2 linked regions of the Macaca fascicularis genome follow. The protein of the gene in region 2 binds, or shares a complex with, the protein of the main gene of each other region. Links are inferred from orthologs where the notes say so. Each region holds a gene or a part of one and is shown on either strand. Other genes may lie near its edges.

Region 1 (3,815 bases), on a different chromosome or scaffold from region 2:
GAGGAAGAGGGCGAGGAAGGGGAGGAGGCAGCGGGCGGGGAGTGGAGGGAGAGAAGGTAGAAGGGTATTTACATCTTGCATGAACTTGCGGCAGACTGGACGGATCTCTTTGCTCAAGGTAGCACTGAACATCATGACCTGCTTCTCGTGGGGGGTCATGCGAAAAATTTCCTGGACATCCCGACGCATGTCTACAAGAACAAGGAAAAAAATTGTAGGAGAAAATAAGCAAGTATGATAAACAAAGATTAGAGGTAGACTTTCCAGTGAGGTGAAGATTGCTGGAAATAGTAATAACACAACGGAAAAAGCAATGGACTTGGAATCAAGAATTGGGATCAGATTCCAGCTGTTCGTTTTAACCAAGCAAGAAATAAGATAAAACCCCAAAGTTCCCAACTATAAAACGGGGACAAAGCCCAGTGCAGACGCTCTCAAGGCCTTCGAAACATGCTTTACAGGCCCTTCTCCCAATCCTTTCCTGTCCAAGCCCCAGCCAGCCCTCAGGAGACTACAAGTATCAACCATATATTACATTCCAGGTAGCAGAGTCCATCTATGACTCTCTGGATCACTTTTCTATCAACTCAGGCAAATATGACATTGCTACCTGGAGCCCACCTTTATAACTCACCACACTGAATTGCCGAAGACCATTTGTAATGACTTATGGGGCCTATGTCCAACCCCACACTCATTCACCAAGATTCAAATCTTACAGAAAAAACTTCCATTAACCCCACTTGGCACACTAGAATACCACACCACACGAACTGCTACCCTCTCTACATTAATCCCAGACCTGAGTCTAGAAACTTATTCAGCTATAAATTCTGACTGTAAATGCTGTGCTGGAGATGCCAGAAGGGTACTGTCTTCTCTTTCAGTTTAGAATCTCCCCTATGACTTCCAGTATAGGAATCTATAATGAAAACGGTGGTGGTGGTGATAACTTAGGCCTGAAATTACCGAAGTCCCCTATTCTCAAAGATTAAAAACAAAAATCATAGAAAGATGATAGATGACATCCTTTACTGTGCTTAAAAGCATAATAAAGCCCAACCAGGGAACCCAGAGCCATCAGTCATGGGTGATAGATAAGAGTCGTCCTTGCACTGAGGCGCTCCTGTTTCAAATAAACATCATTTGGCTCCAAAGAACAACTCCCCAGCATTAGCCAAGTCCCAGCACTGCCACTCACCGAGCTGTTCAAGCATCTTATCACATTCATCCAAAATAAAGTGTTTAATGTGTTTGAGGTTGAGGCTCTTATTTCGAGCCAGGGCTAGGATACGGCCTGGAGTCCCCACGACGATATGCGGGCAGTTCTTCTTCAGCACCTCTTCATCCTTCTTGATAGACAGACCACCAAAAAAAACAGCAACCTGCCGAGAGCCAGGAGCAAAGAGTCTCAAAAAAGAGGAAGGAAAGAGTCCAATCCCCCCAGAGTTCCCACTGTTTGAGCTAAACCAATTTTTAGCATGTTTCAAAACTAAAACTAACTCTAGAGGTCACCTAATTTAGAAATGTTATGTCCCCCCACCAAACACTGAGGGTGACTGCCTAAAGTTACATAGCTAGTCGGAGCAGTCAGGACAATAATTCAGTTCTTCTGACTTAATCTAACCATCTTCCTTCATTTATGAGGCCAAGCCTCATTTTAAAAATAAAGGAGTCAGGTGTGGTGGCGCACGCCTATAACTCCAGCTACTCGGGAGGCAGAGGTTGCGGTGAACCAAGATCTCACCATTGTACTCCAGCCTGGGCAACAAGAGTGATATTCCGTCTCTAAATAAATAAATAAATAAATAAAATAAAGCCAGGCCCGGTGGTTCACGCCTGTAATCCCAGCAGTTTGGGAAGTCGAGGCAGGTGGATCACTTGAAGCCAGGCGTTCAAGACCAGCCTGGCCAACATGGTGAAACCCCATCTCTTCTAAAATACAATATTTACAAATTTACTACTAAAATACAAAAACTACAAAACTTAGCCAGGAGGCTGAGGAAGGAGAATCGCTTGAATGCAGGAAGTGGAGATTGCAGTGAGGCGAGATTGAGCCATTGTACTCCAGGCTAGATGACAGAGCGAGACTCCATCTCAAAAAATAAAAAATAAATAAATAAAGGACGGCAAGAAATTACCAGGATTAGTATAAAGTACCACAAAAAAACACATGGAACATTAAGTTTTCCTAAATAAACCCAGAATCTCAAACTCCTTCATACAAACCCCATGAAATTACTGCTTTGGGTGAAATATTATCACTTCATGTTAAAACCATTAGGTGAATAGTTGGTTAGGGATCTGGGCCTTGGTACAGTGTCAAATAACACCAGAAACTCTAGTTTTAAGGGGGAAAAGAATGACCATGGAATCAGACTGTCACGATGCTAATCCTATGGTAAACCTAAAATCACTAATGAGGCCAGGCACAGTGGCTCACACCTGTAATCCCAGCACTTTGGGAGGCCGAGGTGGGTGGATCACTTGAGGTCAGGAGTTCGAGACCAGCCTGGCCAACATGGCGAAACCCTGTCACTACCAAAAAAAAAAAAAAAAAATTAGCCGGGTATGATGGCACACTGTAGTCCCAGCCACTCAGCAGGTTGAAGCAGGAGAATCGCTTGAACCTGGGAGGTGCAGGCTGCAGTGAGCTGAGATCGCACCACTACACTCACAGCCCAGGGGACGCAGCAAGACTCCATCTCAAAACAAATAAATAAAAATAAAAATAACTAACATAAGTCAACCCGATTTCTGGCACAACAGGAGATACAGCATCACCTATGAAGGATAATTGCCAAAAATGCTTAACTTCAATCAGATTTTTTTTTTTGAGATGGGAGTCTCACTCTGTCACCCAGGCTGGAGTGTAGTGGCACAATCTCAGCTCACTATAACCTCTGCTTCCTGGGTTCAAGCGATTCTCCTGCCTCAGCCTCCCAAGTAGGTAGGACTACAGGTGTGTGCCACCACGCCCGGCTAATTTTTGCATTTTTAGTAGAGACAGGGTTTCATCGCATTGGCCACACTGGTCTCGAACTCCTGACCTCAAATGATCCACATGCCTTGGCCTCCCAAAGTGCTGAGATTACAGGTGTAAGCCGCTGCGCACTTGGCCAGAATCCTCAATATTCACACACCCCTGAAGCTGTTTTAAAGTTTCTGGCTTTCTCTGCCACACACCCCAAAATTACCAAACTGATAGGATTCAAAGTCAGTATAAAGTAGTAAAAAAAGGGTGGTCTCGGTTAAGCATCATCCATAGCCCAATTACGAATCCTCCCGTTACATAGGATCTTAACACTGTTAAACCATGGCAAACTAAAACTTCTCCAAAATTAAAGAGACTACTGGCCTACAAGTTTCTTATCCCTCCAACTTGCCACACCCTCACTCTGAGGTCTCTTTACCTCGGCTTACCTTGACATTGGGCATGTATTTAGAGAAGCGCTCATATTCCTTGCTGATCTGAAAAGCCAACTCCCGAGTGTGACACATCACCAGCACAGACACCTTAGGCAGGAAGTAGACCGAGACATACCATGAGTGTAGCCCTTCATCGTTCCCTCTAGGGAAGTGACTGACAAAAACACACCTGGGCCGATAATAAATGACTTCAATTCTGTGATCTAAATCACGAACCCCATGCTTGGATAGAACATTCCCCACAGCTGTCAGGTTGTCAAGGGTAACCGAGGTCATCATGTAGCTAGGACAAAAACACCCTTCCCTTATAGTCCTAACCAAAACCCCTTCCCCAGCACTCTCCCCAAATATACCTGCCCAGTAACTGGCTCCAGCTGTTGCAGTGT
Region 2 (3,815 bases):
AGGATGGGGCAGAGGAGAGGGTCAGCAAACTAAGAGAAGGTGTAAAGGGAATAAAGAAGGGGATGGGGCTGGGTGCAGTGGATCACGTCTGTAATCCCAGCACTTTGGGAGGCTGAGGCGGGTGGATCACCTGAGCTCAGGAGTTCAAGACAAGCCTGGCCAACAAGGTGAAACCCCATCTCTACTAAAAACTACAAAAAGTAGCCGGGCATGGTGGTGGTGGCAGGCACCTGTAATCCCAGCTACTTGGGAGGCTGAGGCAGGAGAACTGCTTGAAGCTGGGAGGCAGAGGATGCGGTGAGCCAAGATCGAGATTGTGCCACTGCACTCTAGCCTGGGGGACAGAACGAGACTGTCTCCAAAAAAAAAAGAAGGGGATGAGGAGGAGAAAGGAGGAAGGTTAATTAAACCTTTTAACTCCTACCTCGTGGGTCTGATCTCTTCCTTTCTTCAACCTGATGTGGGCTAATCGGTTAAGCTTCTTTAGAGTCATGAAATGCACACAGCTCTGAATCCTCCGTTCTTCAATTTCGATTGCCTGTGAGCAAAGAAAACAGTAAAGCCCACTGAGACAGGGGCTCGCTCAGCTTCCTTCCGTCCCTCACCACCGACCCATCCTCATCTGGGGCCAAACATAGGCACTGGAGGGAGCCCAGAACCATGAGAAAAGTCATGAAGAAAATAAGAGGGATGGTTATATAAGGAAAACGCTTAAGAATCTCAGGCAAAAAAAAAGCAATTTCTGCTTGGACTAGAGTAACAGGAATTGAAGTTGGAATAAAGGCAGCGAAGGCACAATCTGTCTCTACAGATCCTACGCAGAGATCCCGGCAATAGTAACATCTTGCCATAAAATTTGACCTCTATAAATAACATTACAGGATAACTTAAATGGAAAATCACAGAATTATAGCCATAAAGCTTGGCTACAATAGATTGAATGCAATAATCGTAAGAAAACTTGTCAGCATAGGCACGAATATGTGCAATTCCTGGAAAAAAAATGGATTTTTTAAAAACTTATCAAGTTTTTAGTCACGTTGTTTAATTTATCTGCCCCTAAAACCTCATTTATTCACTTACTATTAATGATAATTTCATTTTTGGTGTCTATAATTTATTTATACATATCAATCTTTGTATCAAGCAAATGTATAAGTACTATTATCATTTCTCAACACCTAGCAAAATGCCTGGCACTTAATAAATATTAATTGGATAAATGATCAAATTAGTAGGGAAAAAATTAATTATCCTATACTTTCATTACTGTAATTGGTGACTGAGTGGTGATGAGAAGTTCCAATAAATTAATAGGTTTTGGGAGCCCTGAGGCTCCAGTCACCTGATCATGGCTAGGACAGAAGACCAAGATCAGGAAGGGCCCTGGTAGGTGCAAAAACAGCCTCATCTACGCATACCCACCAGGTTCACGGCCACGTGGTCCCCCTTCTTACCACATCCTTGCCACCCCTGCTCTTCAGGTCTTGGATCTCAGCCATCAGCCTCTGTAGCTCCTGGCAGGTATACTTGTATAACTCATAGTCTCTGCCAGGGTCCCGCAGATCCACCTCGGCCTCCTCACTGTAGTATTTACCTTCCTGTAGAGGTAAGGATAAAGGCTCTGTGTCCGTGAGGTAAAAGTCTCCCTGTTGGGATCAGGGACACTTGGCTGACATCTCGTTAGATAAAAACAGTAACAATGAAGCCCCAATCAGGTCTCTAAAAGATCTGGTCCTTAAATCAAATGCTTTTCTTCTCTTCAAAATAGAAACCTCTTTTGCTTTCTTTTTTTTTTTTTTTTTTTTTTTTGAGACGGAGTCTTGCTGTGTCGCCCAGGCTGGAGTGCAGTGGCGCAATCTCGGCTCACTGCAAGCTCCGCCTCCCGGGTTCACGCCATTCTCCTGCCTCAGCCTCCCGAGTAGCTGGGACTACAGGCACCCGCCACTGCGCCCGGCTAATTTTTTCTATTTTTAGTAGAGACGGGGTTTCACCATGGTCTCGATCTCCTGACCTTGTGATCCACCCGCCTCGGCCTCCCAAAGTGCTGGGATTACAGGCGTGAGCCACCGCGCCCGGCCCTCTTTTGCTTTCTGATTGCAGAGTAATGCATGCCTGATGTCAAAGATTCAGAATATACAGAGTAGTATCAAAAAGAAAACAGAAAAATTGCCTATAATTTCGCTTCAGTCCGAAACACCACCACTGTGAAGACTGTGGATAAATAAACATTTTATTTGTAAACAAAACGGGATCATATCATCTGTGCTGTTAAGTGCGACTTCCCATCTGTATTAGTCCACTTTCACGCTGCCAATAAAGACACACCTGAAACTGGGAACAAAAAAAGGTTTAATTGGACTTACAGTTCCACATAGCTGAGGAGGCCTCAGAATCATGGCGGGAGGTGAAAGGCACTTCTTACGTGGCAGCGGCAAGAGAAAAATGAGGAGGAAGCAAAAGCAGAAACCCCTTATAAACCCATCAGATGTCGCGAGACTTATTCACTATCATGAGAATAGCACGGGAAGGACTGGCCCCCATGATTCAATTACCTCCCTCTGGGTCCCTCCCACAACATGTGCCAATTCTGGGAGATACAATTAAAGTTGAGATTGAAAACCAAACCATATAATTCCGCCCCTGGCCCCTCCAAATCTCATGTCCTCACATTTCAAAACCAATCATGCCTTCCCAACAGTCGCCCAAAGTCTTAACTCATTTCAGCATTAACCCAAAAGTCCACAGTCCAAAATCTCATCTGAGACAAGGAAAGCCCCTTCCGCCTATGAGCCTGTAAAATCGAAAGCAAGCTAGTTACTTCCTAGATACAATGGGGGTACAATGGGGTGAATATAGCCATTCCAAATGGGAGAAATTGGCCAAAACAAAGGGGTTACAGAGCCCATGCAAGTCCAAAATCCAGCAGGACAGTCAAATTTTAAAGCTCCAAAATGATCTCCTTTGACTCCAAGTCTCACATCCAGGTCACGCTGATGCAAAAGGCGGGTTCCCATGGTCTTGGGCAGCTCTGCCCCTGTGGCTTTGCAGGATACATTCTCCCTCCCTCCTGGCTGCTTTCATAGGCTGGCATTGAGTGTCTGCAGCTTTTCCAGGTGCATTGCCCAAGCCATTGGTGGATCAACCATTCTAGGATCTGGAGGGACGGTGGCCCTCTTCTCACAGTTCCACTAGGCAGTGCCTCAGTAGGGACTCTGTGTGGGGACTCTAACCCCACATTCCCTTCCACACTGCCCTAGCAGAGGTTCTCCATGAGCACGCCAGCAGCAAACTTTTGCTTGGGAATCCAGGCGTCTCCATACATCTGAAATCCAGGCGGAGCAAATCTCCATTCTTGACTTCTGTGTACCCACAGGCTCAACACCACATGGAAGCTGCCAAAGCTTGGGGCTTCCACCCTCTGAAGCTACAGCCCAAGCTCTACATTGGCCCCTTTCAGCTATGCCTAGAGTGGCTGGGACACAGGGCACCAAGTCCCTAGGCTGCATACAGCACGGGGAACCTGGGACTGGCCCACAAAACCACTTTTTCCTCCTGGGCCTCTGGGCCTGTGATGGGAGGGGCTGCCATGAAGGTCTCTGACAAGGCCTAGAGACATGTTCCCCATGGTGTTGGAGATTAACATTAGGCTTCCTGCTACTTATGCAAATTTCTGCAACCAACTTGAATTTCTCCTCAAAAAACGGGTTTTTATTTTTTTATTTTTATTTTTTTTTAATTTTTTTATTTTTGAGACAGAGTCTCAGTCTTGTCACCCAGGCTGGAGTGCAGTGGCGTGATCTCAGTTAACTGCA

Evidence for each region.
Region 1: THOC5 (region 2) and DDX39B share a complex: the UniProt entries of both Homo sapiens proteins name them as parts of the transcription/export (TREX) complex. The link is inferred for Macaca fascicularis from reciprocal best matches to the Homo sapiens genes THOC5 and DDX39B.

Annotation. Positions count from the first base shown.
Region 1 is NC_088378.1:140,193,018-140,196,832, reverse strand, and holds part of DDX39B (spliceosome RNA helicase DDX39B), read right to left. Parts: coding exon 3,783-3,815; intron 3,517-3,782; coding exon 3,424-3,516; intron 1,386-3,423; coding exon 1,202-1,385; intron 1,152-1,201; exon of another isoform or gene 1,076-1,151; intron 192-1,075; coding exon 73-191; exon of another isoform or gene 1-72. UniProt on the Homo sapiens protein: Involved in nuclear export of spliced and unspliced mRNA. Component of the TREX complex which is thought to couple mRNA transcription, processing and nuclear export, and specifically associates with spliced mRNA and not with unspliced pre-mRNA.
Region 2 is NC_088384.1:22,130,389-22,134,203, reverse strand, and holds part of THOC5 (THO complex subunit 5), read right to left. Parts: intron 2,697-3,815; exon of another isoform or gene 2,400-2,696; coding exon of another isoform or gene 2,367-2,399; intron 1,602-2,366; coding exon 1,458-1,601; intron 539-1,457; coding exon 425-538; intron 1-424. UniProt on the Homo sapiens protein: Component of the THO subcomplex of the TREX complex which is thought to couple mRNA transcription, processing and nuclear export, and which specifically associates with spliced mRNA and not with unspliced pre-mRNA.